Ovis aries: one gene and its partners. The protein of the gene in region 2 binds, or shares a complex with, the protein of the main gene of each other region. Links are inferred from orthologs where the notes say so. Each region holds a gene or a part of one and is shown on either strand. Other genes may lie near its edges.

Region 1 (4,141 bases), on a different chromosome or scaffold from region 2:
GTGCACCCGTTTGAAGCTGCAGCAAAGGACCCCCTTCCCCAACCTGTCATTTTTACCATAACCCCCCAGATGTCAGTGGCAGACAGGATCTGGCAGGCATGTGGCCCACCTGTGGGAATCAGTCAAATCAGAACTGAAAATATACCTCTTTCCAGAAGCCCCTTATGCGGTGCTACTACCCGACTGAGAACCAACAGGCCTCAGTCACTTCCGTTCACTGTCAGGGACCTGAGGTCCAGAGTGTGCTGACTCTCTTGGGGTCTGAATAGTGGGGCTCTGGGTCTGGACTCTGAGGAGGGACCCATGTTCCACCACTAACTAGCTAGTGACCTCTGCCAGTTAACTGGCTCCTAAGTTTGTTTCCTTACCTTAAAATAGGGACCATAACAGCCCCACCTCAGGGGGTTGCTGGATAAAGGCAGTGCTCAGAGGCAGATTGCCTTCCAAGGCACACGAACCCTGTTGTCTCCCTGACCATTTCCTCCCTCCTGCCCTCCCTTCCTCTGCTCCAGCTGCACCAGCCATCTTGCTGGTCTTTGAACCTCTGCCTATCTCTGCCAAGGGGTCCTCCCCGCCACGTGTCCATGAGTCCCTAAGCTCATCCCTGGCCTCCTCCTGGACTTCCCTCAGATGCTCCCTCTCCACGAGGGTGTCCCCTTCCCCCACCATGAACTCACCTAAACCCCTTTATAAAAATTTTTTTATTTTTTAAATACCATCCACCATCCAACACACACTACTGTTATTTGTCTATCACCTCACCGTTCCTCAAACCTGGGCCTCACTCACTGCTGACGCCTTAGCACCCAGCAGGGCTTGCACACTCTAACTGCAGTCGGCTTCATGGGGCTGTTAGAATGAGTAGCTTCATTCAGTGAATGCACTACCCTACCAGTGCCTTCCTGGAGTGGGGTGGGGTCCCCCATGCCCAGGGGGCCGGCTATAGCCACTCTTTTCTCGGCAGGGCCGGCCTGCTGGCTTCTTTGACGCTGGAGGTGGCGGGAGGGGCGGCCTGCCCTGGCTTGCCTCAGCTCTTGGAGTAACGCCTCTGCAGCGATTCCCGGTAGAAGCGGAAGACGTGTGTGGAGGCAGTCTGGGCTGCAGCCAGGCACTGCTGGAGCTGGGAGGGGAGCGGGGGGGAGCAGGGGTGGTCAGTGCCGGGGGCCCCACCTGACTCCCAGAGCCCCCCAAACCTAACACCTCCCCTTTCACCAGGAGTCCCTCTCCCCAGGGGAGGGTGGTGGTGAGGGGGTTACTCCACATGCATTCCCGTCTTCCCCACTTCATGGCCTCGTTAGAGGAGGCTTCAGGGCTGATTAAACAGCTCCAGGCCCTCGGACCAACAGTGTCAGGCATCCTGCTCCCGGAAGCATTCCCAGGTTCCAGAGAGACTGGAATTTTAGACCCAGAGGCCCTGTGACTCCAAATACTCTTAAAAGCCATGGAACTCAAGACCCCGAATCTTTACTGCCGCATATACATGTTTTCACAGGAGGGCCAGGTGGTAAATGTTCTTGGTGACCATTTGGCCCAATAGGTGCCAAACTCTGTTCAGACACCCCGAACTCCAGGGTGCACAGCTCTGAGCTGGAAGCTGGGAGGCCTTCAAGTGCCCCGTGTCCTGATTTCCACCTGAGCCCCTCTTCTCATCAACTGGGCTTCCCTTTAAAATTCCCACAAAGGATTCTATGGCCACAAAGTTTAAAACCTATTTGCAGAAGGGGTGCAAGGAAGGGGTTCCCCTTACGCCTCTTAGAATAGTGACCAGACCTCGTGTCAGGGGGGCGCAAAGGGCCTGGTGTTCACCCCCAATTATGCAGTGATACCTCGGCGTCAGAGTAGAGCCCCTTGGTGGTGGACATCAGCAGCTTCCGTTCCACGCTGTCAAGGGCAAAAGTCAGGACTGCCCGGGCCTCCTAGGAACAAGAGGTACAAGGTGGAAGACCTGGGACCCTCCCCTCAGATACAATCTCAGCTGGCCCCAAAGCGGGTGTGTGTGTGTGTGTGTGGGTGGGGGGGGGGGGGATGGTTGCTTTTCCTGCAGCCAGGCCCTCACGTAGCAAGTGTATTTTTTGAGGGGAGTCTACACATCACCCCCCCCCTGCGTAATCGCTCCTCACATGATCCCACCACGTGGCTCCGACAGGGGCTTCCAAAGCACAGTATTCCACACCAGAGGGGCAGCCACGGTGATGGTCATCCCTCAGTGCCTCCCAGCAGTGCTCTGCTCTCTGGGGCTGGAAGCCAGCAAGCTCTATTTCCCAGGTTCCCCTGCCAGTTTGGTTCTAGTGGGAATCTGGTGGGAGACGAGAGGAAGCAGAAAGCAGCATCTGGGTCCTCACAGGATCTGGGTCCTCACAGGAGTTTGGGGCGTATCACCCACCACAGTTGTCATGGAGATGGGGTGGCTGCGGACCTCAGCAGCCAGGCCAGAGCCAGACTGTCTCTGTTTTCATCTAGATCTGACTGCGCCCATGTCCCCAACAGTGCCCGGTAGGAGCTGGCCTCAGGTTTCTCGTCTTGGGGGGTCCTCCCTTCTTCCCTTTTGCTTCTTCAGCTCTTTCAACATGGCTGTTGTGACCAGTTCCCTGCATTCAATTCCACTCCCCTCCCCCCACATCTGAAGCTCCCAAGGGGTTTCTTTCCGCTTTCCTGACTGGAAGTGACTGTCACAGTCCTGAGCAGATAACTGGGAATAACTGGAGCCCCAGCACATTGTGAACTTGAGCCACTGAAGAAGAAACTCTAAGATTTGTTTTTGGTTTTGAACCTCTTAAAATCAACTCCCTTGTCGCTTCAGCAGGTTAGAGCTGGGTTTCTAGCAATTGCCCAGAGGAACAGAGCAGAGCTAGCTGGCTGAGCAAATGAGGTGGTACCAGCCAACTGTTTTGGAGAAGTGAGGCCCAGAGGAGGAGAGGGAGGGTGCCTGCCCAGGGCCTTTCACCACCCCGCCCTTCACACTTACCTTTTCCTGTTTAGCAGTAGGGTCTAGCATGAGGGTCCCATCAGAGTCCAGAGCACAAGTGACCCCACAGAAGAGGGCCCGCATGGGCACACCGGCGTCCACCAGGGCCATGCAGGCGGCATTCAGGCAGCAGGCCAGGAGCTGAGTGCCACAGGCCGTGGTTAAGTTTCTTTTTTCATCCTTTTTTTTTCTTTGACCACGCTATGTGGCTTGTGGCATCTTAGTTCCCCAGCCAGCAACTGAACCCAGGCCCTCAGCAGTTACAGCGCAGAGTCCCAACCACTGGATTGCCAGGGAACTCCCATGTTAAGAGTTTCTACCGAAGGTTGGTCAGCAGAATACATCCATGCCTCTGGTTCACCAAGCCAGTGCCTGTGAACACTAGACAGCTAACTGATCACAGAAAGGCAGAGTAATCCTGGGATCTAGTATCCTTGGGTTCCAAACGTGAACTGCCACCCCTAGGCTGTGTGACCTTGAACAAGCTACTTACTCTCTCTCAGCCTCAGTCAGGGATCACAATGATATTCGGCAGGTATGCACCTTCGGGGAAACAAAGGTCAGAAGCCTTTCAAGATAAAACAAGGAGGCAGTGGCAGAGCCAGGCCTGGGGCTGGGGAATCGAGCAAGCAGTGCTACCGGGTGGCAGGCTGGCAGGATGACGGAGGGAGGAGTCAGTGTCCTCAGGGAGCCCGCAGTCCAGGGGAGAGGTGCGGCCCTGGCCCTGTGCAGGGTGAGCACAGGCCTGAGTCAGCCAGCCAGCCCCAGCTCAGTTTCCTCTCCTCCCCAGGGCCCAGCTTTACAGTCAGCCAGCCCCACCTCTGCCACTGACCCTCCGTTATCTCCCATCTGTGAAATGGGTTCACAGTGCGCCTCTTCCCCCATCTGTGAAGTATCTGCCCAGTGCAGGGCCATACCCACGCACAAAGCTGTCTAGAAATGCCCATTTCTGGGCCTCTGCCTCTCGCACCCAAACCGCGGCCACATTCCAAGGCTGAGCTGCTGAACCAAAGGCTCTGCCTGCTCAGGGCTCCTGCCCTGTTGAGCCTCAAATCCAAGCTCAGGGTCAGAAATGAGGTCAATGGCACAGGCTCTGGAGTCAGATGGGCCTGTGTGTGAATTCAGCCTCTGCTGCCTTCCAGCTGTGTGACCTTGGGTAAGCGACCTCTCCTCTCG
Region 2 (4,846 bases):
AAAGTCCCCATCAACTATTCTTATACCATTTATTGCAAGGAGTTCATTAAGTCTGAAACGCCTTATTTTGTTAACTGCATGAAAAATGGATATGCAAGGGATATTTTCTGGTGGGCTCTGGAACACAGACGAGTTCCACATCAGCCAGAGGAGGAGAAAGGAAAGTGAGGCAGGTACCTCCCAAACCGGTCTACTCACGTCTCCCTCAGCCACTGGCTGCATGTCTCGGATCCCTTTCCTAATTCCTCCTCCCAACTCTAATGATGAATTAGAGCCTCCACTCTGAAGGCTAAGTCCTTGGGCCTCTTCTCTTTCCAGCCCACACTCACTTGGTGAGCTTACCCAAGTTGATGGCTTTAAATGCCACCGATGAGTCCACCATTCCCCTGAATTCAGGCTCTAGCTCTAGTCAACCACTGGCTACCCAGCACCTTCACTTACGTGCCTAACAGGAATCTGCGTAAGTTAGAAACCTCAAACAAAGCTTTCTAGCAGCCCCTTCAATTCCACTATAGCAAATGGATCCTCTCCCAACTGTCACCGGCCCAGGAAATAGCAACTCCACCCCTCCGGTTGCTCAAGCCACAGTCCTTGGAGTCTTTGGAGGAACCGTGTGTATCTCCCTCCTCCCCTCTCTCTCCTGCTCCAGGACAGGTCCAGCAGCAGATTCTAAGACCTCTACCTTACCAATGTAGGCAGAAAATAAAAAGCACCCCAAAGGAAGAAATAAAACGATCTCTTCTCACAGACATAGTCCTACGTGTAGAAAAGCCCACATACAAAATCCTACAGCTTTTCACAGTAAATACACGCAGAACACGAAATACACGCAGAACTGATCACTATTCCCCACTTCTATGGCTATCACCTTAGTCCAAGCCACCACCAACCGAGATGATGAGAACAGAGCAGGAATCTGGCTCCCTAACCCTGCCCCACCCCCGCCCCCAACAGCAGCCAGAGTGACTCCATTAAAACAGAGGGCGGCGGATCAGGTCCTTCTGCTCCAGGGCCTTCCTAGACCGCACAGAGTGGAAGTCAGAAACGTTTATCGTGGCTGCAGGGCATGCAGACTGCCTACCTCACCTCTCTGCATCTGCTCCTACTACTCGCCTGCTCACTCTGTTCCAACCCCACTGGCTCATGTTCTGGGGCTAACCTTTACTGAGCCCTCAAGGCAGACGGCTCTCTGTGTAAAGTACTTTATACACACTATTTCGGTGAATTCCAAGGAAAATCCTACCCAGGAGGTCAGGCAAGGTCTCATTTTGCAGGAGAGGGAACCCAAGTTTGAAGAGGTCAGATATCGTAGGGAAACCTTTGAAGCCTACCCTTACCTACAGTCATCTCTACCCTTCCTCCAGTCATGTTCCCGAAATCCCAGCCCTACAGAACGACAGGGCAGGCAGGGCTGGGGGTAGGGGGTGTGTCATGGCAGAAAAGACCTGGCTGTGCAACTCAGATGCCACAAAATACACACCTTTTGCTCTCACCTGGTTTTCAAAGCTTTTACACAGATCAACTTGTTTACTCTCTCCACAGAGCCAGCCACAGATGCAATGAGCTTCTCTTCCCCCATGTAGGTTCCATGGCCCCTGTTGCAACAGGAAGATACAAAGGATACCAGGGTAATATTTGAGGTGACCTCTAGCAGCCAGAACAATGTGTTCCTCAAATCTGATTCCTCCTGCCTCAAAGACAGGCTTTTCTGCTGGCTGCCACCTCTGCCTAAACACTCCTTCTTTAGAGTCCTACGTGGCCATCTCTTGCACTGTACTCAAGTCGACTCAAATGGCATTTTTCCACCAGGCCTTCCTCAACTCTCCCATTTGTAATAGTCACCCGCCCTGCGGCTGCCATCCCCACCATATTTCCAACTTATGCTCCACTTACCCTGCCTCACTTCTTTATTCTTTTCTACTGCATTTACCAGCAAATATTCTAAATAACTTGTTTGTTGTGCTTATTTCTCATCTGTCTGTCTCAGAACATAAAGTCCACCAGGACAGAGATTTCCTCTTTGTTCAGTTTATACCCCAACCACAAATAATATTTATGGACTGCATGAATAAAGGACTGAATCTTAAGATTTCCTGGGAACCAATAATCCCAAACTAAGAGGTTAAAGGGCAATGGAATAAACGCTGTACCTCTCTCATATGCATATGGGGGGAGGGCAGAGGCTGCCTGAGGTATGAGTAGTGTTGACCACTGTGATGGTGATAGAATGGTGAGTCTTACTTTTTTTCATAATCATTACCCCTCATGTAATCCTTCCCTGGTGGCTCAGACAGTAAAGAACCTGCCTGCAATGCCAGAGACCTGGGTTGGATCCCTGGGTGGTGAAGATCCCTGGAGAAGGGAATGCAACCCACTCCAGTATTCTAGCCTGGAGAATTCTATGGACAGAGGAATCTAGCGGGCTACAGTTCACCGGGTGGTAAAGGGTCGGACATGACTGAGGGACTAACTCTTCCACACTTTCACTTTCATGGAATCCTCACCATTCTCTGGAATAGTTATTTTACAGACGAGGAAACTGACCTCGGAGAGGTGATACAGCTAATATTGTGACGGCAGCAGGACCGGAACCCCAGCTGCCCTTAAGCTGGAGCCTGCCCTCAGACTCAAAGTTACCTATTCTGGTGCATGTAACATAATATATTTGCATGCCCCCTAAGCCCAAAATGGCAACCCACTCCAGTATTCTTGCCTGGAAAATACCATTGACGGAGGAGCCCGGTAGGCTACAGTCCATGCGGTCGCAAAGAGTCGGACACGACTGAGCGACTTCACTTTCTTTAAGCCCAAGCAATGGCTCGTTCCAAAACCGTGCCCCTGGCTAGGAGACGGAATGCTGAGGGCTAAGTGGAAGAAGTCAAAAACGCCCACCATCCCTTCCGCCGAAACCTGTGAGGAGGCCCTAGCTGCAGGTTCAACGAGGAAGGCCTCAGAATCGGGGCCTGAGGCACAGGACCCACGAGTCACAGCTACCAGTGATCGGGACAGGAAGGTTTCGGGGGAGCTGAGGCAGCTACAGACGGGGACATACAAGAAGCAGGAAGTAGGAAGTCCGAAGCCTCGAAAACGAGGCAACTGAGATGCTCCCAGATGCGCCCCGGGTACCGCGAGCACTTAGATGCAGAACACAGGCCCAGGTTTGATGCGGAAAGAGAGCAATGCAGCCGCCCCTGCCGCCCAGTGTCCCCACAACCCCACGTACCGCATGAAGCCTGTGTCCGTGGTGATCGTGTCCCCTGGCACCACTAGGTGCTTTTTACTCTCGCGGCCCAGGCTCTCGCTAAGAGGCTTCCGAGCGACGGGAAGCCTCATCTCCAACGCCATCTTGGCGCCAATAACTCGCGCAGGCGCAGCCCCACTCGGAGTCACGCTTTCCGTCTCCGCAATTTCCAGCCGTCGCTCATAGGGGCGGGGCCTCAGAACAGCCGCCAACGGGAACTCACGGTCTGGCCTCCATGTTGGCTACTGGCAACCATTAGGTTAACACGAAGGGAAGGAAGGAGTCAAGTTGCCATTTTTACTATTGGCAAGGCTGCTCTTGTCAAATAATAAAATCTCAGGTTGCATAGCGTTCGACTTTTCAGCAAAACTCTTGTGCTCATCTCACTTACTGTTTTCCAGGGTTATAAATAATTGTGAAGTGGGCCTCTGAGTTTCCTTCCAATTCAAAGCTGCTGAAATCTCTCTTCTTTGGTATGCGATTGACCAGGAGGATCAAGAGGAGAAAACACTATTTGGACAGAGGAAAGAGTCTCTTTTCGTACTGTTACTAGTAGCCCCTGTATTCTACATTACTGTCACTTCGTGAGTGCTAGTTCAGCACCAACCATCATCTACACCCCCAAACAGTGCTGCAGGTGCTGTTTCCATTCTTTCTTAAGCGAGCTGATTTCCCTGGTATTTCTTTTGGAAAAAGCAAGAAGCCGTCTAAGAACACATTTAAATCTTGCCAAGCGGGTATGTTTTGTCAGGGAGGACAAATGGACACAATACAAAGATTTTCGCGTACATTTACTCACACAGTGAAATGAGCCAGGAGCTGTCCTAAGGGTTCAGTGATGAACAGATGGAAGGATATGTGGTTTTATCTAGGCGTCAGGAGTATTTCGCTTGTCCCTCTCCCCAGGTGCTACCCTCTCCCTCACCCTTGGCCCTGCATGCTTTATAGCATTCGCAACAGACTTAGTTTCAACCTCAGGGAATTGGAGGTGATAATTCTTCATGCAGGCTTCCCAGGTAGCGCTAGTGGTAAAGAACCTGCCTGCCAATGCAGGAAACATAAGAGACACGAGTTCAATCCCTGGGTCGGAAAGATCCCCTGGAGGAGGGTACGGCAACCCACTTCAGTATTCTTGCCTGGAGAATCCCATGGACAGAGGGGCCTGGTGGGCTATGGTCTGTGGAGTCTCAGAGTCGGGAGTCGCAGAGTCAGGCAAGACTAAAGTGACTTAGCACAGCACAGCCCAGTACAGGGATTCTAAATAGGATGAAATAAAATAACTTGCATCAGCACCACTCACTGAGACCAGTAAATTAAGTCTGTTTTCTCCTGAAGACCCATCAGACCAATAGCCTGGTAAATCTTCAAAAGGATAGCATTTCTTTCACCTAAGCGTGGCTCACAACTACATTTGTCTAGAAAGCCAACCCTGTAAGGTAGTCAGTTATATAGATTCTAATTGCTCACAGGTCATCAGTAAGTGGACAGCCAGACACTTGCCCTCCTCCTTGCCTGGAGAAGGGGCTCAGTTCAGTTCAGTTCAGTCGCTCAGTCATGTCTGACTCTTTGTGACCCCATGGACTTCAGCATGCCAAGCCTCCCTGT
Region 3 (4,987 bases), on a different chromosome or scaffold from region 2:
GCTTTTAGTTCCTCTCCACTTTCTGCCGTAAGGGGGGTGTCATCTGCATATCTGAGGTTATTGATATTTCTCCTGGCAATCATGATTCCAGCTTGTGCTGCTTCTAGCCCAGCGTTTCTCATGATTAAACTGGGCAATTCTGAAAGTACCCAACATAAGGTGCTAGAAACAGCAAGTACTCAGTAAACGGTAGCTATTACTCCCTCAAACTTTTGAGCAATTTTCTACACATTTGCACAGATTAAATGCCATCACTGGATAAAAATATGTCACCAAAAATACCTTAAAATTTCTCAAATTACAGCCAAATTCTTTAAAAATTAAAGGCAGTGAGGATTTTTTAAAAAATTGTTTCAGCAGATTTGCAAATGTTCACAAATTATAATTAAGTCATTAAACTTGGGTTGTATTATCTAAAACTCAAAGGTTAAAACTTGGGAAATGAAAACAAATACTAAAACACCTGACTGCCCAATCAACAGTAGAATTATAGATGTATATTATAATCTACTAAGTATATGAAGCTAACTTAGTAACTCAAATCTTGGTAGTAAGTATATTAAACCTACCGCTTTAATTCCACAAATTACTGTAGTATTTCCAAGCTTCACTAAAGAAGAACCATCTGCGGTACCAATCGAACCTGAAAAGTATTTTTTTAAAATGAAAATGTTTTCTTCTTTTATGTATGATTTTTATCTCTAAATATCTAAGATGTCCGTGAAAATTTACTCCTTGCTTGAGTCTTGGTAAAATTATAGTTGACCCTTAAACAACATGGGCTTGAACTATACAGGTCCACTTATACAAAGATTATTTTCAATACATACTTCCACAGTACTACGTGATCCACAGTTGGTTGAATCTAAGGATGCTGAACCTTGGATACGGAGTGCCAATCCATAACGGTAAGATTATACTTGGATTTTCAACTCTGTGAAGGTCAGTGCTCCTAACCCCCTCACTGTTCAAGGGTCAACCGAATTGTTTTAGGAATTATTCATTTTCTTGATTTTGAGTGAATCATTTGTCATTTAATCACAGGGCTGTTATTAAAATTTCTTGACAAAAATCACTGTAATCCCTTAGACCTGGTAGAATTTGTCTAAAACACCGTTTAAATGGCTCAGAGGCTAAAACCTGGGAATGTCATATGGGTAAAATTGGAAAATTCCATGTTTGGCAACAGAAGATTTAATAATGTAAGATATAGAAGGAAACCAAACCTTACAAGTTTTGAAGGGGGAAAACACTTCAGAGTTACTTTAAAATTTAATATGAACATAAAAACTGAAAGGATGTGCTTAGCTGCTCAGTCGTATGTGACTCTTTTGTGACCCCATGAACTGTAGCCTGCCAGGTTCCTCTGTCTATGGGATTTTCCAGGCAAGAATACTGCAGTGGGTTGCTATTTCCTTCCCCTGGAGATCTTCCCCACCCAAGGATCAAACCTGTCTCCTGCATTGCAGGTAGATTCTTGATGCACCAAGACATTTGGGAAGCCCACTAATGAGAGGAGAGTGAGTTAAAAAAAACTCTACAAATAAAAAGTTGCTATTAAGAAAAAAAATTCTATTTTCAGAACTGAAGCAACTTCAACATTCTTTTAGAACTCAAAGTACTCTCACCTACGTTGACAGTTGTGGTTCTGAATTCACCAAGTTCTCTGCCATCGGGACGGCAATTCTCTTTCTAAGTAAATATATGAAAGTAGATTACAGCTACATGTATATCTTACACAGACCAAGGAAAACACACTGAACCTCATTAATTCAAATAAATTAATCTGTATTACTTTAAAATTGTCTTTTAAAAACTGAAGTATACTTAGAACATTAGGTGAATAACATGATTAATACTTGTATTTATGAAAAAAGCATATGATACCATTATCAAAGGGCATCACATAATCACCTTTACTTACCAGAAATCTCCTGTAATACTCCAGAGGTTCCACAGTTCTGAAAGACATGAGAAAAATGAGATAAATTATAAATCAATATAAATCCAGAAACACAACAATCTTAATAGTGGGGTGATGGAGCAGAAATCTCCAAAATTTGTAACTAAGTTTCTGTTATGAATTCTAGTTTATGTTGCCACATGTTGCTAATTATAAAAAGTAGCTACTTTTGCAATAACAATCACACTCGAAGACTGATTTTAATTCTGCTTTAAACAAGTATAAGGATCGAGACCAAAACCCTAGGCCTCTTTAAAAAGAGAATGAATCCAGGTGTGCATCACTCATACTTTGAAGCAGGAATACTTCGTTAGTAGGAAAAAAAAAAAAATTACGCATTTATTTTCACTACCCCGACTTAAATTTAGCATATTCTTCGATTACAAGCATAGGCAATAAACCACTATAATATTAGCCGTACCTGCGACTTTAACAACCACAGATTAAGATGTTTTCGTTTTTACTTTATAGTTGCCTAAGGTCGGTAAAGCGTATGCCCGCAATGCGGGAGACCCAGGTTCGATTCCTGGGTCGGGAAGATCCCCTGGAGAAGGAAATGGCAATCCACTCCAGCGCTCTTGCCTGGAAAATCCCATGGATGGAGGAGCCTGACAGGCTACAGTCCATGGGACCCGCAAAGAGTCGGACACGACTGAGCGACCTGACTTTATGGTAAGTGTAAGACGTATCGTTACTTCGAATTTCAGGAGTTACTTTAGACTTCCCACTAGGCCTTATCTAAGAAAGTTAATTTCAAAACAGATATTTCACTGTGTCAAAAACCCGGAGTTTATACAAATACATGGTCGTTTCAATATAACTGGTTTCCTTTGGAATCCTATTTATTGCATCCATTTAAAACTCGACTCAGAACGAAAAGCTATAGCCTTCCCCAGAGAGCAGCACCGAAAACGCTTAAGGAAAACCTTTCTAACGAGGCAGAATGCTTTTACACATAAACTACTGGGCAGAGAAAGCAGGGCGCCCTGAGGTTTTGAAGCAACGCTTTCTACAAGATTACAAGTGTCTCTCCTGTGCAGCAAAGTCCACTACACACAAAGCCTAGCGCTCGCAGCGGGTACCTGCTCAACACAGTACTTCCTATCACTGGGGAGAAGATGCGCCCTTTCCCTTCACTACGACCACCTTCAGTTCTCCCGCCCAACGTCTCCTTCTGCAGTGGAAACAAATGGGAACCAGGTGGGGTGGCCTCCCGATGAGAAAATCCCAAGGGTAGGGAAGCCGCCGACCGCCAGGCTACGAACTCGCGCCCGCCAGCCTACCGCACTCACTTGAACCCAGCCGCCATCTTCCGCCCGCCGATCTGCGCCTGCGCCCGCGCCCGCGCCTGCGTATCACCACCCCTCCGGCCCGCGCTGCTGTTTCGCTTCAGCACTTTCAACACTGATTCTGCTACCTGATATGTAGAAGGCAGGGTTGTATGGACCAGAGTAGAGGTAGAAGAGGTGAGGGTGGTTTCCCGCATGGCTTCGCTTCGACCACCCCTAGCCAGTCGCCCCTTTAGGTTTTCTTGACCTTGACGTTTTTGGCGAATCGGCTTTTACGAAAGTTATGAGTGTTTGTTTAGAAACAGTTTGATAGTTCAAGCGTGCGTGCTTAGTCTCTTCTGTAGAATCAGACTTTTCGCGACCCGATGGACTATAACCCACCAGCCTCTTCTGTCCTTGGAATTCTCCAGGCAAGAATACTAAACTGCGAAGATCTTCCCAAACCAGGAGTGGAACCCATGTCTCCTGCGTCTTCTGCATTGAAGGCGGATTCTTTATCGCTGAACCACCAAGGAAGCCCACCATTCAAAAGTTTCAGAGAAAACCGACGGTATAGCAAAAAATCAAGTGTTGAGCGTGGAGCATTATTCCAGTGTTTCCGCGTTCTTTCCCCCTCCTCCTTAGGCTGAGCCCTGGGCTTGCCTTCTTCCAGGTAAAAGCCTCCTGCTAGAGCACCGAAAATTTAAAAATTCTGTGCGCTGGTTATCCACATCAGGTTACATTACGCAGCTGCCAAGAGTGGGCTCCAAAGAAACAACTTTCGTTGTAGACTGTGTCGTGGCTCAAAACCTCCACTCCACCTCCTTCCTAGAAAGGGTTGCTGATAAAACGCAGGACATCCAATTCAATTTGAATGTCAGGTGAACAAAGAGTACACGCAAAATTGTTCATGTTGTTAGTTGTTACCAGAAGCTGGGGGAGAACTGGGAAAGGTTTAGCAAGAGGCGGTAGTGATGGTTGCAGGAAGCTGTGAGTGCAGTCAATGTCCCTGTAGTAGACACATAAACTGGTTAAAATGGGAAATTTGATCAGTTTTTCAAAGTTAATATAACAAAAAGCTCTTAAATGGGCGAACTTTGAGTGTGTGTTATACTTTAATAGTGCTGTTGAAAACCGATCCGTTGCTATCTGAAATTCAATTTAAGTGGACATCCGTTTATTTCTCCTTGCTGATTTTGACAACCCTACTGCGTTTGAACAGAGCCGCTCGCACACAACATAGTCTCGTCACGCGGTGGCGCTGTGGGCAGCGCGGGTCCCCGGGCGTGACCGGGTCTGGCCGCGAGGTGGCGCTGTGGGCGGCGGGCGCCCAGCTGGCATGGCCTCTCTGCGGGCTGGAGGCGGGGCTGCGCGGCCGCATTTCCGCGTGTGTGTAAACGCGGGATAGGGCGGCTGGCGGCCCGGCATGGAGGATGGCTCCGGTCTTGCTGCAGCTGGCGGTGCTCGGCGTGGCGCTGGCCGCCGCGGCCCTGATTCTGGTGAGGAGAGGGGTTGGGGACAGACGCGGACCTGGGCTCACTGCGCTCCTGGAGGCGCGGCCCCCCAGGCATGCTCTCCTCCTAGCTGTCCGCTCTTTGACGTGTCCTTCCACCACGCTTCCCCAAGCCTAGACCCCAGAATTTCACACCCCCTTTCCTTCAGTTCCTTATTTTTATTTTGGAGCTCCTTCCCCCTGCGTGCCCAGAACCTAGCACTTGCGTTCACTGGGACATGCCCACCCCGTCTTCTTTTAGTC
Region 4 (4,693 bases), on a different chromosome or scaffold from region 2:
GCTCGGCTCCAACTGGAATCAGAGAAGAGTGATGAATAGGGCAGCTGGGAGTAAAAGCGGAAGCGGCGATAAGAACACAGACGCCAGATCTCTGAAGGTGCTCCCACTGGCACTGACCGGTCTAACAGCCGTGGTAGGATGTGAGGGGGCTTCCGCAGAGAGGCCAAGGGGTTGGTGGGTCCATTCCTATGGATGTCAATAACCAAAACCAGCCGAGTGGAATCAGGCATGTGTCCAGAACCAAGATCACTGGGGTCCGATGACCACAGGGAAGAAGGTGCATGAAACTACTGGCCAAGGGGTTTCAAAGGAGCTGGGGTGTGTTGAGTAGAAAGTGGGAAGCACCCCTGTCTGGGCCAGGAGGTGCCTGGGATATTAGAGAAGGAGCAGCCCCTTGGTTCAGGCTGCAGGGCCTGGTGGTGAGGGCTCAGTCAAGTCTGAGGTGGAAGAAGGGGGAGCCTGAAAGAGGAAGGTGCAGTGGTGGGGCAGCAGGCAGTGTCTGTCTTAGGGTCAGGACTGAGAAGACGCCAGGTGACATTATGTGTCTGTTGTACTTTTGGAGCCCAAGGGAAGTAGCAGGACAGGCCCAAAAGGCTTCTAGAGGGCAAGAGACCCTTCAGTCCCAGCCACAATCCAGAGGATGTGGGACACGGCCCCCACATGACCATAGTGAATACCCAAAGCCACCCCTCAGGACTTGTGCTCAGGACTCTGGATGTGTTGGGATGAGAATGACAGACTCCATGGTCGTGGGGCATGGCTCGTTATACCAGGCTGTGTCTCACTGCCCAGCAATCCCTTCTTGGCCCAGGCTGCTCACTTCATCCAGGGACATCCGCCTTCTTCAGGGTGCTCACCTGAAGCACCCTGATGAGCAGGGTGAGCAGCACTGAGGCTGCAAGGGGTGTGTAGTGCATGTCTTGGGGGCGGACCCTTAGTCATTGCTAGAGCCAGCACCAGGCCAGGATCCAAGGGCAAGGAAGTGCGGTGGGGAAGAGATAAAAGTACAGTGAAAGGTGCTTAGGTTTTATTCTGGGCTTGGGTGGCCCTGTGCTCAGTCCCCCAGCAAGACAGAGGCCTCTTGTACATGCTGCCGGACCACACGGTCCAGTACGGTATGTACATCCCGGGAAGCCCGGGCAGCGGCCTCTAGCACTTGCTCCAGGTGGTCCTCATGCAGTCTGGCATCCATCTCAAGCAGTGCAATCTGGCCTGAGGCTGGTAGCAAGGCCAGGGCCAGCTGGGGGCCCCCAGCTGCTTCCTCCACATGGCTGAGGTCTGCCAAAGCTGTTCCATCCACAAAGCCAGCTGAGCAGGCACACACAAAGTCCCGCATGGGTATCCCCGCGTCCAACACTGCCAGCGTGGCTGCATTCACACAAGCTGCGTAGGTCCCGCCGTCTGCCTGCAGCACCTGCAGGAACCCCCCAGTGGCATGAGTTTCAAGCTGCTGAACCCCAACTCCTCCTTTCTCTCTCCCCTCCACAGGCTGAGGGCTGCTGCCTGCTCACCTGCACATAGATGTCAATCTGGGAGCGTGGGTGCAGCTGTGTAAGGATGGCTGCCTCGAAGGTCTGACGCAGGTGCAGACCCATCTCACAGGACTTGCGGTCCCCGTGTGGCCGCCGCTTGCGCTCCCCTGTGCTGAAGGTTGCAGAACTGTACTGACAGTTCACCAGGGCCCGGTCAGGCAGGGCTCGTGCCCGGGAGCCTCTGATCTGGGGTAGGGTGGGGGAGAACACATGAGCCAGGCCCTTCCTCCCTCTACCTCCAACATCCCAACAAGCAACCACTTTACCTGCAAAACAACACAGCCCGAGGGAGGGCCATTGGGCCAGGCTCTAAGCCACCATCGTCCCTGGATCTCTCTCCTGACAGGCCTCCCTGTTTCCCCTCTTGACTCGTCCTCTCTCGACCCCATGCTTCCTTTGTATGAGAATCTGTTTACATATATCAAGTCTGATTCTACCTCCTCTGCACAATACATATACTGCTTACCTTATAAAGAGTTCCCATCACGCGTGAGATAAAAATCCTAAATCTTTTCCCTGTTTACAAAGGTCCTGGGTTCCTGCTTCCCTAGAAATCCCTCAGTCTCATTTGGAATTACCACCCTCTTCCCCATCACCAGTCTTTCTGCTCTGCAAGAGTGCCATGCTTACTTCTACCTCTCTGGCCTTAAGTCTCCAGCGCTGGAGTGGTGATAAACCCAAGCGGTTTTATTAACACTCTCTGTCTTCACGGAGTTTATGTTCCAGTGAGGAGACAAACAGTGAGAAATAAGTTAAACTGATGTCTGAGGAGGCGGGTGCGGGAAACCAGATAAGTGTGTGGATGTAAAGGAGGGAACTTGACTTGTAAAGGGTAGGTAAGGTGGTCTGGGGTGGGATGGGGTGAGGTGTCACCCAGAGGTGACGTCGGAGTGGAGCTGAGAGGTGAGGGAGCCAGTGAGAGCGGCCCTGGCGGTTTTAGGAGTAACAAAGCGGTGTAGCGAGCGCTGGAGAAAGGCAGGGACCGTCGTGCAAGACACTGTTAGGACTTTGGCCGCGGCCCCACAAGGCGGCGCGCGCCAGCCTCACCCCCGAGGCCTCTACTCAGCCAGGTAGCCCCTCACAGCCCGTAGTGGCCACCCCCGGAGGAAGCCCGGCTCGCGCGCGCCCACTCGCCTCGTGAGGCCCGTAGACCACCGCCAGCGCCTTGGTATTGCCCTGTTCGATGTAGGCCGAACCGTCGGCCTGCGCGAATACACCCATCCGCGCCTGGATCTTGCGCAGCTCCCCAGCGCGCCGCCCGTCCACTCGGTAGCCCTGGTCCGATAGGAGCTCCAGCCCAGCCATGCCGCCCGGGCGCTAGCCAGGCTTGAGCGCCCGGCAGAACTACACTTCCCGGTAGAATTGACTCCCCACTTCCGATTCCCCAGGACTACGGTTTCCGGGGCACCGACTCCGACTTCCGGTTCCGGACCCCTGCGATTCTCCCAGAGTTCCCGAGGGCACCACATCTCATTTCCGGTCCTTGCGGAACTGCGGCTGTGGGCCCGGGGAGGGACCCTTGCGGCCTTTTGGGGTACGCACTCGCGCCTGCAGGGCTGGAGGCATGCCGGACGTGGAGTCGCCGTGTCGTTTCTTCCCGGGTTGGTCATGGGGACGGCTCCCTCTACCATCCGGGCCTGCCCGCCCCGCGCCGCCGCCTCTCCCTCGGCCTCTCCACTGAGCCCCGCGCTTCCCGCGCCGCTGGCGCTCCTTTACTTCTGCTTGACGCTTGGTATCTCCCTCGAGGTTTGCGGGCGATAGCCGCCACTGCTGGTCTTAAGTTCTTCCGCGGTCATAAATGCAGGCCTTCTCCCAAGCTGAGATACACTCTCTGTTCGCAGTTGTTTTTTTTTTTTCTTTAAACCGTTTAGTTTTTACATTTGTCCGTTTAAAAAGCAGACACATTTATGTTGTACGTACACATGGTCAAATTTTTTAGTTTCAATTTTCCATGTTGCCTTGTTTCTCTGCACTCATCCCCCTATCTACTATAGCTTAAAAAATGGCTCCGTTTTTCTTCACACTCATAATTACATCCAGGTCACACACAGACACGTGTATATGCAGCTGTACATGTACAGCCATATAGTGGCCTTTGGAACTCTTATTTTTTAAAATGCGATTGTTTCATACACTTTTGCATTTAACTCAAAAATATAAAATCTGTCCAAGTAATCCTGTGGAACTCATAGTTTTTTGGTTGATACGAGTATCAAGTAATAAGTAGAATGTACCCAGCAACCACCCCATTGTGGGCAGTGGATGTGTGTCCCGGGGTTGAGTGAAGGCTGTGTGGGAGTTAGATTCTCCGTCCTTTCCCACCTGGAATAAATGTTAAAAGTTTTTTACATAATCCTTCCCTCTTCAGAGGGTTACTGCCATTCCTCTTGCATTTCGTGGCCTGATGTCAAATGCCCTGGAACAGCAGAGGGGCTCACAGGAGGGGGGATGAGATGTTTTCCTCCACAGCTGCCTCCTGTTTCCAGATACCATTTGCTTGGTGGTCAAGGTCACCATCAGGGAGCTCATTACCCTCCTCATTTGCATTATTCGGGCTTCTCTGGTGGCTCGGCTGGTAAAGAATCTACCTGCAGTGGAGGAGACCTGGGTTGGGAAGATCCCCTGGAGAAGGAAATGGCAACCCACTCCAGTCTTCTTGCTTGGAGAATCTTATGGACAGAGGAGACTGGCGGGCTATAGCCCATGGGGTTGTAAGAGTCAGACACAACTTTAGGGCATTATTCAGCCCCTCTGCAGTGCTTAGAAACCAGATCCCATGCTTCAGGTTTGAATAGGGAAGGATAAATCAGCAGGGCTGTGACACTGACTATAGGGAGGCGACATTCACTGGGGCTGAGGGCGGTGTGCACTCGGGGCTTTCCTGTCTGTGGTCATTGGTGACTGGCGATGACTGGCATTGTCGTGAAGCCTTCCTCCTTCACGTCTTTGGTGGCAGGTGGTGGCTGTTGGCCAGGGCTCAACTGAGGCTCTGAGAGAGAGCACATCTTCATGTGGCCTCTCCATCCAGCCTGGGCTTCCGCAAAGCACGGCACCAAGGTGGACTCCCAAGACAAAGTGGGTGTTTGTGGCGTTCTAAGACCTAGCCTCCAGAAGTCAGGTAGTGTCACTCTTGCCAGACTGTGGGTCAAGGCAGTCACCAA
Region 5 (3,810 bases), on a different chromosome or scaffold from region 2:
AGCTGGCCACCTCCTTTGCCCAGCTGCGCCTGGGAGACGTGAAGAACTGAGAGGGAAGGGCAGGTGCGCCAGGAGGCATCTCCCCCGCTCCCCGACCCAGGCACACCCATCCAGCCAGCTCTCCTTCCACCACAAGGACGTTTGAATCTTGAGACCTTTAAACAGTCCCATCTGTCCTAACCCAGCAGTAACCGGAACTTCACCTGAGAGCCAGCCTGTGACTCAACGCCCATGTTACATTTCTGCCCTGAGCACATCCGTGCCGTCCACCTAGAACTACTACCCCAGGATTGCTTTTTCATCATCACACTTGTGTCTGTAGAGAGTTCTTTGCAGACTCAGTGCTATGGGCCTCAAGGGAAGAATCATTTTCTGCTGCAGAGAATAAAAAGGCCATGTGCAATACTTGACAGGATACCGCCACGTGATTCTTTTACTCCTCCTCCCTTCTCACCCTCCCTCCTGTGATAACTTGTGCTTCCCTGGGTGTCTGTAGACTAGTGGCTGTGGTTCCAACTGGTTTCTGGTTGCGGCCCTTGCTGAGTCCAGCCCCAGACCCCTGAACTTTGAGAATAATGGTGCCTGGATTTGCGTCAAAACATCTATGGGGATGGCTCACAGAATAGGGTGATGAAGATGGTCCCTGGGGTTGCTGGCAGCGGAGAGCGTCTTCGTTTTTGGTGCTTTTTACAGAAGAACATTCTCGTTGATAAGTCTCCTATGTCTTTTCCTCTCCTGATGTACAGGTTGGATGTGAGGTCAGAGACATTCCTTGGTATAGGAGGTTTTTAGGGAACATCAGTTGCCTCCTCCCAACACCCTTGACTGCCAGGTCATTCCAGGTTTCAGGACCTAACTTGGACGGTGAAGATGGAGACTGACCTGGTTCTGTCCATTTACCCCAGCCTGAAGACAGCTGGGTGTGGGAGCTGTAGTGTGTAGTATTTAGTTGTGCCCTCTCTGGCTGACTTCAAGTCCCCTGGGTACAGCAGGCTGGCCCTGAATCATTCTCAGCCCTGCTGACTTGGAGGGAGCAGAAAAGCAGGTTTGTGCTGAGAGAAGAAGCAGAGACCACCAGTCACAAGGCCTGGGGGTGAAGAAGAGGAGAAACAGGAAGGGTGCTGAGGCCCTGGCTGCAAAAAAGCAAGCCAGGTGAGGAGTGTGAGGGATACAAAGCTCACACAGTCCGCAGCGCGGGAGCGAGTTCCAAAAGCACTCCACAAGCTGTGCCAGCCAGGGCGCAGTACCAAAGGGCCCTCTTGGACAAGGCGGCGGGGGAACATGTATACGGTTGTGTCACTAGTGTAGGACCGATTACAGCTTCACAAGTGAGAGGAAGAAGACCCACGCGCTGGGCTTGCGCTGGCGTGAAGGCTAGAGGTCAGCGGGGCCGGTCTAGACCCCACTTCTGCAGGCCCGTCTGATCCACCCATGCACCCAGCTCTGGCCGTCCTCGCGGTGGCCCGGGGCTCCGCGACGCGCACCGTCCCCCTCCGGGGCGGCAGGGGGCGGTGTGGCGCCAGCCGCTCTCCCGCGCACCCTCGCGCGGCCGGGCAGGCGGGCGGAAGCGCCGGCGCGCGGGGCCCCGCTGACCCGCGGAGCCGGCCGGCAGCAGCGCCGCCATGCCCGGGGACCACCGCCGCATCCGCGGGCCCGAGGAGTCGCAGCCGCCGCAGCTGTACGCGGCCGACGAGGGCGAGGCGCCGGCCCCTCGCGACCCGGCACGGCTGCGGCCGGTGTACGCGCGCGCCGGGCTGCTGAGCCAGGCCAAGGGCTCGGCCTACCTGGAGGCGGGCGGCACCAAGGTGCTGTGCGCCGTGTCGGGCCCGCGCCCGGCCGAGGGCGGTGAGCGCGGCGGCGGCCCGGCCGGGGCGGGCGGCGAGGCCCCCGCGGCGCTGCGCGGCCGCCTGCTCTGCGACTTCCGCCGCGCGCCCTTCTCGGGCCGCCGGCGCCGCGCCCCACCGGGCGGCGGCGAGGAGCGCGAGCTGGCGCTGGCGCTGCAGGAGGCGCTCGAGCCGGCCGTGCGCCTGGGCCGCTACCCGCGCGCGCAGCTGGAGGTGTCGGCGCTGCTGCTGGAGGACGGCGGCTCGGCGCTGGCCGCCGCGCTCACAGCCGCCGCGCTCGCCCTGGCCGACGCGGGCGTCGAGATGTACGACCTGGTGGTGGGCTGCGGCCTGAGCCGCGCGCCGGCGCCCGCGCCCGCCTGGCTGCTGGACCCCACGCTGCTGGAGGAGGAGCGCGCCGCCGCCGGCCTCACCGTGGCGCTCATGCCGGTGCTCAACCAGGTGGCTGGGCTGCTGGGCAGCGGGGAGGGCGGCCCGACCGAGAGCTGGGCGGAGGCCGTGCGCCTGGGGCTCGAGGGCTGCCAGCGCCTCTACCCCGTTCTCCAGCAGTGCTTGGTGCGGGCCGCCCGCCGGAGGGGTGCCGCTGCGCCCCTCTGAGCCAGAGACCCGAGCAACGACGGACGCCAAGGACCGACCCGCAGCTGCCGCCACAAGGACCCGCGCCGTCGGCCTGCAGATGCGTGCGCCGAGCTGAGAACCGGGAGCACCGCGGAGGATCTGCGGAGGCGTGCTCAGAATAGCCGTGTTGGAGCGATTCTTTCCAGACTGCTTCGTTAAAGAAACTTTTCTAATTGAGTTGACTCCCAGCCACGATCCAGTTGAAGAAACCTGCCAGCGCATCTTGACTCCTAAGTTGGAAAGGACTTCCGCTGTACTCATCGGGAAAATGATGCCTATGCAGGCCAGCCGGGGGCTCCCTCCTGAATAACTGGGCTGCTTTTGAGAGCGGGGACAAGGAGGCTGTGCCTTCCACGTATATCTGAACCCAAACAAAAACTCTTTTTATAATCTGAAACATTCTGTTGTTTTTGGTACCGACTTTAATGAATAAGGCTCTTCTGAGCTGGGGACTGTGTTCTCAGGGCTTGGGACAAGCATTATCTTTAATGTGTCCTGGGGTTGCTGGTCCACTAGTGAGAGGGCACTTGAACTGCCAGGAGTGAGAGTTTCTGGATGCTGGAGATGCCATTCTGTAGGGCAGAGCGGGTCTGTCTGACCAGGAGGGTGGGCTCTGCCCTGTGTGGCTCCTGAGCCCTGCAGGTTTGTGCTCAGGTCTGAGTTGGCGAAAGGGCCGCCTGGGGTCCTCCCTGCACCAGCTTGGTGTAACCTGAGCTTGTGTGTCTTAGGGGCCTGCTCAGCTGTAGGAAAGGCTGGCTCAGGCAGCTGAGAGACCAGAATGAGGCCTGGGGACCACACCAAGAATCCCTGACTAGGGGGAAAAATACAAATTTTATTTGACCCCAGTGACATAATATATATTTCCAAATCAGATCTGAAATACAGAATCACAGCAGAAAGAAACAAGATAGAAACAAAGTAAAAATGGTAACCCTGTGGACGCTCAAACAGGACTGGGGGCTTTGAGAGGGAAGAGAGCTGACGCTGCTCCGGGGGGGTGGGCATCCAGCTCCGCTTGCAGGAGCGGGCCTCAGCTCTATGAGATGGTGTGCTGGTGCCGGGCAGCTGCGGGCCGCCCCCTTCCCTGCAGCATCTAGACTGCCATCTGGACAAAGCTAAAACCAGCACTAGGGCCGGGTGCCTGGCTGGTCTGGCTGAGCCACGCCTCCATGTCCCTGGCTCCAGAATGGGTGGCGTGGGTGCTGCTGAGAGACCCTTGAGAAAACACTCAAGGCAAGGACGGTGCCTGGAGCTGATGGGCCTGGAGGGGTTCCAGCCTGCTACTGACAGCCCTGGTCTGACGCCTGATTCTTGACCTGTAGGAGAAGCAGAAGCAGGACCCTAGCAC

Evidence for each region.
Region 1: EXOSC2 (region 2) and EXOSC5 share a complex: the UniProt entries of both Homo sapiens proteins name them as parts of the RNA exosome core complex. The link is inferred for Ovis aries from reciprocal best matches to the Homo sapiens genes EXOSC2 and EXOSC5.
Region 3: EXOSC2 (region 2) and EXOSC8 share a complex: the UniProt entries of both Homo sapiens proteins name them as parts of the RNA exosome core complex. The link is inferred for Ovis aries from reciprocal best matches to the Homo sapiens genes EXOSC2 and EXOSC8.
Region 4: EXOSC2 (region 2) and EXOSC4 share a complex: the UniProt entries of both Homo sapiens proteins name them as parts of the RNA exosome core complex. The link is inferred for Ovis aries from reciprocal best matches to the Homo sapiens genes EXOSC2 and EXOSC4.
Region 5: EXOSC2 (region 2) and EXOSC6 share a complex: the UniProt entries of both Homo sapiens proteins name them as parts of the RNA exosome core complex. The link is inferred for Ovis aries from reciprocal best matches to the Homo sapiens genes EXOSC2 and EXOSC6.

The regions. Positions count from the first base shown.
Region 1 is NC_056067.1:50,086,097-50,090,237, forward strand, and holds the end of EXOSC5 (exosome complex component RRP46), read right to left. Parts: intron 3,107-4,141; coding exon 2,966-3,106; intron 1,917-2,965; coding exon 1,827-1,916; intron 1,121-1,826; coding exon 1,028-1,120; 3' UTR 687-1,027; downstream 1-686. UniProt on the Homo sapiens protein: Non-catalytic component of the RNA exosome complex which has 3'->5' exoribonuclease activity and participates in a multitude of cellular RNA processing and degradation events.
Region 2 is NC_056056.1:5,933,193-5,938,038, forward strand, and holds the start of EXOSC2 (exosome complex component RRP4), read right to left. Parts: upstream 3,363-4,846; 5' UTR 3,346-3,362; coding exon 3,224-3,345; intron 1,596-3,223; coding exon 1,494-1,595; intron 1-1,493. UniProt on the Homo sapiens protein: Non-catalytic component of the RNA exosome complex which has 3'->5' exoribonuclease activity and participates in a multitude of cellular RNA processing and degradation events.
Region 3 is NC_056063.1:24,979,439-24,984,425, forward strand, and holds the start of EXOSC8 (exosome complex component RRP43), read right to left. Parts: upstream 3,298-4,987; 5' UTR 3,273-3,297; coding exon 3,256-3,272; intron 1,962-3,255; coding exon 1,925-1,961; intron 1,693-1,924; coding exon 1,629-1,692; intron 644-1,628; coding exon 570-643; intron 1-569. Other genes in the region: ALG5 (dolichyl-phosphate beta-glucosyltransferase), read left to right, coding at 4,665-4,730. UniProt on the Homo sapiens protein: Non-catalytic component of the RNA exosome complex which has 3'->5' exoribonuclease activity and participates in a multitude of cellular RNA processing and degradation events.
Region 4 is NC_056062.1:13,709,794-13,714,486, forward strand, and holds EXOSC4 (exosome complex component RRP41), read right to left. Parts: upstream 2,897-4,693; 5' UTR 2,838-2,896; coding exon 2,667-2,837; exon of another isoform or gene 1,719-2,666; coding exon 1,512-1,718; exon of another isoform or gene 1,489-1,511; intron 1,415-1,488; coding exon 1,055-1,414; 3' UTR 1,006-1,054; downstream 1-1,005. UniProt on the Homo sapiens protein: Non-catalytic component of the RNA exosome complex which has 3'->5' exoribonuclease activity and participates in a multitude of cellular RNA processing and degradation events.
Region 5 is NC_056067.1:1,305,134-1,308,943, forward strand, and holds EXOSC6 (exosome complex component MTR3), read left to right. Parts: upstream 1-1,579; 5' UTR 1,580-1,622; coding exon 1,623-2,441; 3' UTR 2,442-2,859; downstream 2,860-3,810. UniProt on the Homo sapiens protein: Non-catalytic component of the RNA exosome complex which has 3'->5' exoribonuclease activity and participates in a multitude of cellular RNA processing and degradation events.